2 linked regions of the Canis lupus familiaris genome follow. The protein of the gene in region 1 interacts with the protein of each later gene in a pairwise test. Links are inferred from orthologs where the notes say so. Each region holds a gene or a part of one and is shown on either strand. Other genes may lie near its edges.

Evidence for each region.
Region 2: the proteins of DMPK (region 1) and HSPB2 interact in a two-hybrid assay, tested with the Homo sapiens proteins (2 studies listed by BioGRID). The link is inferred for Canis lupus familiaris from reciprocal best matches to the Homo sapiens genes DMPK and HSPB2.

The regions. Positions count from the first base shown.
Region 1 is NC_049222.1:110,539,376-110,543,182, forward strand, and holds part of DMPK (myotonin-protein kinase), read left to right. Parts: intron 1-104; coding exon 105-188; intron 189-278; coding exon 279-374; intron 375-945; coding exon 946-1,094; intron 1,095-1,431; coding exon 1,432-1,525; intron 1,526-2,177; coding exon 2,178-2,384; intron 2,385-2,468; coding exon 2,469-2,732; intron 2,733-3,407; coding exon 3,408-3,493; intron 3,494-3,807. UniProt on the Homo sapiens protein: Non-receptor serine/threonine protein kinase which is necessary for the maintenance of skeletal muscle structure and function.
Region 2 is NC_049226.1:21,212,618-21,216,081, forward strand, and holds HSPB2 (heat shock protein beta-2), read right to left. Parts: upstream 1,948-3,464; 5' UTR 1,840-1,947; coding exon 1,746-1,839; intron 1,378-1,745; coding exon 923-1,377; 3' UTR 723-922; downstream 1-722. Other genes in the region: CRYAB (alpha-crystallin B chain), read left to right, coding at 2,952-3,152. UniProt on the Homo sapiens protein: May regulate the kinase DMPK.

The sequences.
Region 1 (3,807 bases):
CGGGGCCAGGACTTGGTTGTGTCAGGGGCGGAGAAAAATTCCTACGAGCCCGGGGATTGCGCCTGCCATCTCCGCCCCCCCAGTCACCCCGTTTCGGCCTTCAGGTAGCGGTGGTGAAGATGAAGCAGACGGGCCAGGTGTATGCGATGAAGATCATGAATAAATGGGACATGCTGAAGAGAGGCGAGGTGAGGGCCAGGGCTGGATGTGCAGGGCGCTAGGATTACCCACCCTGGCTCCCGCTCCCTGCCACTTAAGTGCCTCTGGGTGCCCCGCAGGTGTCGTGCTTCCGCGAAGAGAGGGACGTGTTGGTGAACGGGGACCGGCGCTGGATCACGGAGCTGCACTTCGCCTTCCAGGACGAGAACTACTTGGTGAGCCTCAGGCCAGGGGGGACTAGGGAGACCGACCTAGTCCTGACGCTGTCAGTGAGGCTGACAGTGAACCAGGCAGATTCAGGGAGAGGAAGTTCTAGGCTTTGGGAGCTGCCTCCAAATGGCTGCGGGTGTCTCTGGGTGTGGTGGGAATTGGTTTTCCTTTCCTGGGATGGGAGATGTCCCTTACTGTTTTTTTCCTGGACTGATTCTGGGGGATCCTGTAAAGATGCCACTGTCGGGGGGGAGGATCTCTTACCTGGACTGGGATAACTCTCTACAATCTATATGGGGGGCCCTGGGCAGGGTATCTAGCCTCTGTACTTTGGCCACTGGGAACTCTCTGGGCTTTTTCCCCTCTCCCTGTCTAGTGACATCCTGGGAGAATTAGGTTTTGCGGGGGGAGGGTGTGTGTCTCTGATTTGGCCTGGGAGATTTCTTGGGCTCTCTAGGAGCTGGGGTTGCGGGATCCCTGCCCAGGGATGGGGCATCTGCGGCAGTCTTTGTCCCGGGCTGTCAGCCGTCAGTGCCGAGGGGTGCGACTGACCCCCCATGACACGCCCCCTGCCAGTACCTGGTCATGGAGTACTACGTGGGCGGGGACCTGCTAACGCTGCTGAGCAAGTTTGGGGAGCGGATCCCGGCCGAAATGGCGCGCTTCTATCTGGCCGAGATTGTCATGGCCATAGACTCAGTGCACCGGCTGGGCTATGTACACAGGTGGGCGCCGCAGGGGCTGAGGGGCGGGGACTGGGGGGCGGGGCCCAGAGAGGGAACCAGAAGTTGCACCCGGGTGGGGGGCAGGGTACCGCAGAGGTTGGAGCCCAGAGGGGGCGGGGCCCGGGGGGAGAACTCATTGGTCTACTGGGAACAGGACCCGAGGAGTGGGGTTCAGAATCCCCTAAGGGGGGTTGAGGGGTAGGGCCCTGAGAGGCCACAATTGGAGAGCAGGGTCTCCCTAAGAGGGGAGGACCTTGGCCGTGGGGCCTGCAGGGGTGGAGCCTGGTGAGATGGATGGGAGAGGCTCACTTTTCCCCCTTACCTTCCGTTTGCGCAGGGACATCAAACCCGACAACATCCTACTAGACCGGTGTGGCCACATCCGTTTGGCCGACTTCGGCTCCTGCCTCAAGTTGCGGGCAGATGGAACGGTGAGCGGTGCCCCGCTTCAGGCAACTCGGGCCCCCAGTGAGGAGTGGGCTCAGGTGGGGGGACCGGAAGTGCAGAGTGCGGGGGCAGGGCTGAGGCGCACAGGTAGTTAGGGTGGGGGCCCCATCAGATGTGGAGGGGGAAAGAGGGTGAGAGGCTCGGGGTTAGAACAGGCCAGGGGGGATCCCTGGGTGGCGCAGCGGTTTGGCGCCTGCCTTTGGCCCAGGGCGCGATCCTGGAGACCCGAGATCGAGTCCCACGTCGGGCTCCCGGTGCATGGAGCCTGCTTCTCCCTCTGCCTGTGTCTCTGCCTCTCTCTCTCTCTCTCTCTCTCTGTGTGACTATCATAAAAATAAATAGTAAATTAAAAAAAATTTTTTTATTTATTTATGATAGTCACAGAGAGAGAGAGAGAGAGGCAGAGACACAGGCAGAGGGAGAAGCAGGCTCCATGCTCCGGGAGCCCGACATGGGATTCGATCCCGGGTCCTCAGGATCGCGCCCTGGGCCAAAGGCAGGCGCCAAACCGCTGCGCCACCCAGGGATCCCAATAAATAAAAATTAAAAAAAAGAACAGGCCAGGGGAGGGACCAAGCACTCGGGGCGTGGCTAGGAGGGGCGGGGCCGAGCCCAGCTGTGGACCTTTTGGCTCAGGTGCGGTCGCTGGTGGCTGTGGGCACTCCGGACTACTTGTCCCCCGAGATCCTGCAGGCCGTAGGCGGTGGGCCTGGGATGGGCAGCTATGGGCCGGAGTGTGACTGGTGGGCGCTGGGAGTGTTCGCCTATGAGATGTTCTACGGGCAGACGCCCTTCTACGCCGACTCCACGGCTGAGACCTACGGCAAGATCGTGCACTATAAGGTGAGGACCGCCAGAGAAACCCCTGATCTCCCTCCACATGTACTGCCAGGCTTACGTCCCCCGCCTTCCCTCTCCCTCGTGCAGGAGCACCTGTCTCTGCCGCTGGTCGATGCGGGGGTCCCTGAGGAGGCTCGAGACCTCATCCAGCAACTGCTGTGTCCCCCTGAGACGCGGCTGGGCCGGGACGGAGCAGGTGATTTCCAGAATCATCCTTTTTTCTTTGGCCTTGACTGGGACGGTCTCCGAGACAGCGTGCCCCCTTTTACGCCGGATTTTGAGGGTGCCACTGACACGTGCAACTTCGATGTGGTGGAAGATGGGCTCACTGCCATGGTGAGCGGGGGCGGGGTAGGTACCTGCAACCCCTGCTGGGCAGAGGGTATCCCCCCTCCATCCCTCACCCATAAAGTTGGGGTTAGAATAGTACCCATCTCCTCGGGTCTTGAAATCATTCCTCCCTCAGAGCACCTGTTCTGTGACCTGCCCCACGCTGGGAACCCAGCGATGACCTGGGTTCACAGTCTAGTGGGGAACATAGACTGGTCCCCAATGACTCCCCAGAGAGTTCAGAGGTGAGATGGGGGAATGCAGGGGGTGGGGCTCCTGGATTCAGCATGGAAAGTTTTGGAGGGCTTCCTGGAGGAGGTGTTATTTGAGCTGGGACCTGGAGCGATGAGAAGTGAGAGGCAGGAGAGCACTGTTTTGTGGAGAAATCTCTCTTAGGCCTTCTCTCAATTGTGATACAAGCTATCCTGAGTGTGTGTTCAGCTTGGGTGCCTTGTGCTGGGTGCTGCTGGGGACACACAGGGACCGAGCCAGTCCTGGTCCCACCCTCATCCACTTACAGCCTAGAGAAGTATATAATTACAGTGTGGAGAGTGTCCCGAGGGAAGTTATAGGATATATTGAAAGAAAATGAGGGAGGGGCCACTTCAGATAGGCTCCAAGCTGGGGTGGGGTGAGGAGCAGGAGACCAGCCCTGACGAACACCGGTCACTCCACATCTGTGTTTCTCTTGTACAGGAGACGCTGTCTGACATGCGGGAAGGCATGCCACTGGGAGTCCACCTGCCATTTGTGGGCTACTCCTACTCCTGCATGGCCCTCAGGTAGGCACTGCCCCTGGGCAGCCTGTGAGGAGTGGCAACACCCAGTGGAATTGCAGGATCAGTCTTGGAACTTGACTGCCTTGGGACCAAGGACTATTAGGACTCCAGAGGTGTAGGACCTTGAAATCTCAGACTATAAGTAATGCAAAATTACAGATTCAGTTGTAAAGCCTCAGAGCCACAGACTCAGCCTTCCAGAAGCTTCCAACCTTCCACTTTTTGATTTCTAGTACAGTCATGAGAATCAGAATTCTCAGAATCTTAGAAAATAAGAATTTCAAGAATAAGAATTTTTTTAAGTCACTCTTAAAGGA
Region 2 (3,464 bases), on another chromosome or scaffold:
GCACAAACTACAGAGAGTAACTGAGGAGCCAGATGCCCACACTTTTCTGAACACACCATGTCCCTAGTATTAAGAGTCTGCTTCCAAAGGAAGATTCCCTGGCCGCCATCACCATATAAATAGCTCTAGTGCCCCTGCATTTAGTCTTGGACTAAGTGATTCCTCTCTTTGGGATGTTCCAAGATTAGAAACAGATGCTTTCTCTCATAGACCCTGTGCACAGGTTGGAGACACTTGGTGGTTTGGTGACAATGGCAGAGGCGTCTGTGTCTGTGCCCTGTGTATGCCTCCACCGCTCAGAATCAGGGACCATTTTCAGTGGATAGATCTTACTCTGGGAAAACAGGGCTTTAGGCAACTCTCTCCAGCTAACACTGTTTTCCCAACCCCTACCCGAAACAGGCCAGACAGGCTGGAGACCCTTGTTTTTGTGTCTCTAATCACCAGCTCAGACAGTGCCCTCTGGGCTGTTTGGATGGCATATCCCTTTCCCCTCCCAGGATCACTCTCTCTTTTGTTGCATTGTGAGAAAATTACAGCTAGGAATTTGATCTGGAGCCAGTGTCAGCTTCCGGGTATGATCTCAGCATCCAAGTGTGAGCTCAGGGTGCTGTGACGTGGGGCACATCTAACGGAGGAGCTTTTGTCTCGCTGGCTATGGCCTCTTCCCTCCCTGCCCATCCCATCGTCCAGGCCACAGAACAGGGAGCAGCACAAACAAGGCCCTGAGATTTGGGTTTATTCAGCTCCACCCAGAACTAAACCAAAGGCTATGACATGTCTCAAGGGACCAAACCATACATTGTGGGCCATGCACTCTCCCCCTCCCCCCAAGGATGCGGCTACCTCTGGGGCGGTGGGCAGCTGCTCATACCACCGCGGGGGGTAGAAAGGGGTTCGCTGGGTGCTGGCTCAGTGACACTCAGGGCTCAACCCTGGTTGCCTCCTCCTCTTCGTCTGGATCGGGAGGTGCAGGGAGCAGGGAGATATAGACCTCATTGACCTCCGTGTCCAAATGTCGGCCACCCCGAGGTGCCTCCAGGTTAAGGATGCCATCGTGGGAGAGAGCCGCCCGGACCCGCCAGGGGTCCACATCGGCGGGCAAGACGTAGGTGCGGCAGAACTCCCGGGACACGAAGCCGTGGCGGTCCAGGCGCTGGGGGTGCCGGGCAGACACCTCCAGCAGGTTGTCCACAGTCCTTACGGTCACCTCGTCGGGCGTAAAGTGGCTCACGTCCAGAAACGCCTGGAACTTGCCGTCGCTGAGCCGAAGCTCAGACGCCCCTGCCCTGCTACCCTCGGCGGCGCGGGCGGCCCGGGGCCGGACATAGTAGCCATGGTAGAGGGTGGGGGTCAGGATCTCTTCGGGCAGGAGGCCTGAGGGGCAGGATGAGGCAGGATGAGCCGGGGACGAGGGGTGAGGGCCAGGGAGGGCGGGGGGGGGGGGCAGGAGGGGGCCAGGGGCCGAGATGGGGGTGCAGAGGGCAGGCCGGGCGGGGACCGCGGGACAGAGGGGAGCACGGGCCCAGCCAGGGGGTCAGGGCCGGGCATCTGCCCCGAGGTCAGCGGGAAGGGGACCGAGCCCTGCTTGGCGGGGGCGGGGGCGGGGGGGGTCCGGGTGGGAGACGGCTCGCCCCAGGAGTTCAGTTAAGCCCGGAGTGGGGTGGAGGCCAGCACTGTCGGGAGGTCAGCCCGGAATCTCAGGAGGTGGGGGCGGGAGGCCGGGGGTGGCGTCTGTGCCATACCTTCTCCGAAGCGCTGCTCGCCCAGGCGGCTGGGGTTGGCGAATTCGTACTCGGTGGTGGCCGGGTGGGCGTGGGGCACCGAGCGGCCCGACATGGCTGCGAGGCGTCGGCGGCTCTGCTCCGAGCTGCAGCCCCAACAGAGCAGCGACCCCTCCAGCTGCGGGGCCGGCCAGGGCTCGGTCCGAGGTGGGGGCGGGGTCTACACCACCCAAAATAGTGCGGAGCCCGGGGTGGGGGAGGGGCGGGGGCCGGGCCCCTGAGCGCCAGCGACAAGTGTGTGACCCGCGCTGCCTGGACCCCCGCGCCCCCCCCCCCCCCCCGCACGCCCTGCAGCTGTCGCAGGCGGCCCGAGGGGACAGCGGGGGGTCCTGGCTGGGCAGCGAGCTGGAGCTGCGAGCTGCGAGCTGCCGCGGGAGGCCGGTCCCGAGGCCCTGCAGCGGCCTAGCTGCGACCCTCACCCTCACCGTTGGCACATTTTCCACATTTCCTCCCTCTGTCCTCCTAAGTCCCGGGCACCCTACACCCGACTGCACAAAGCTGTCCCGGTTTTAACGTTCTGCCGCCGTGTAAGGTGAAAGATGCAAGAAACTTTCCCACCCTTTTTTGGAGTGGGGTGAAGGGTCTTCTGCCCAGACGAATGTCAGGGTCCTCTCCTGAACCAGGGTCAAGCCCGGGCGCCACACAGATATCTGCCTGGCGCTGACTTGCTGGTGATGGCTGCTCTCCTCCAGGGACCCATAAAGAGTTAATGTCCCTGGGGCCCAGCCTAGGAAGATTCCAGTTCCTGCCCAGGCCCAAGATAGTCACTGGCCCAATTCCCCTGGCACGCTAGGCTGGAGAGGAGGAGGAGGGGCACAACAGCCGCCTGCTTGGGATTCCTGACTCCCTCCCAACTCCAGAGAAGGGGGTGTGGGGGGGCACTACTGGGTGTGGACGGAAAGCTAGTGCAACAGGACCAGGACAAGTCACTGGCCAGCTCAGACGTGTTTGTATTTCTCTTTTCTTAGCTCAGTGAGTACTGGGTATGTGTCACACTGCCAAATCCCTGATCACAAGTCTCCATGAACGGGTGGTGAGCTGGGATAATAAAACTCCTGACATCACCATTCCAGAAGCTTCACAAGACTGCGTATATAAGGGGCTGGCTGTAGCTGCGGCTGAAGGAGCTGACCAGCCAGCTGACCCCCTCCACTCAACCTAGCCACCATGGACATCGCCATCCACCACCCCTGGATCCGCCGCCCCTTCTTTCCCTTCCACTCCCCCAGCCGCCTCTTTGACCAGTTCTTCGGAGAGCACCTGTTGGAGTCCGATCTCTTCCCAACTTCTACTTCCCTGAGCCCCTTCTACCTTCGGCCACCCTCATTCCTGCGGGCACCCAGCTGGATTGACACCGGGCTCTCAGAGGTAAGTTTCTGCCAGGAGAGGAGAGTTCTTCCTAGAACCTCCTGGAAACATATCCACCTGCTCTCCTTTTTCTCTCTGCCTGAATATGGCTATGTCTAAGCATCTTAGGCACTTGTACGTCCACCAGGGTTTAAGAAACACTAGGCTACTGGTTCTTTCCACCAGTTTACCTGTTTGTATTTGATGCTCCACTGTGTCCTACTTACTGCCTTTTCTCCACGGGCTGTGAAGATCGCCCTCTATCTCCTAACTTCTAAGTAGGATGCCCCTTTCTGGTTTGGTTCAGAAAGATCTACAGGGAAAGAGCTGCCT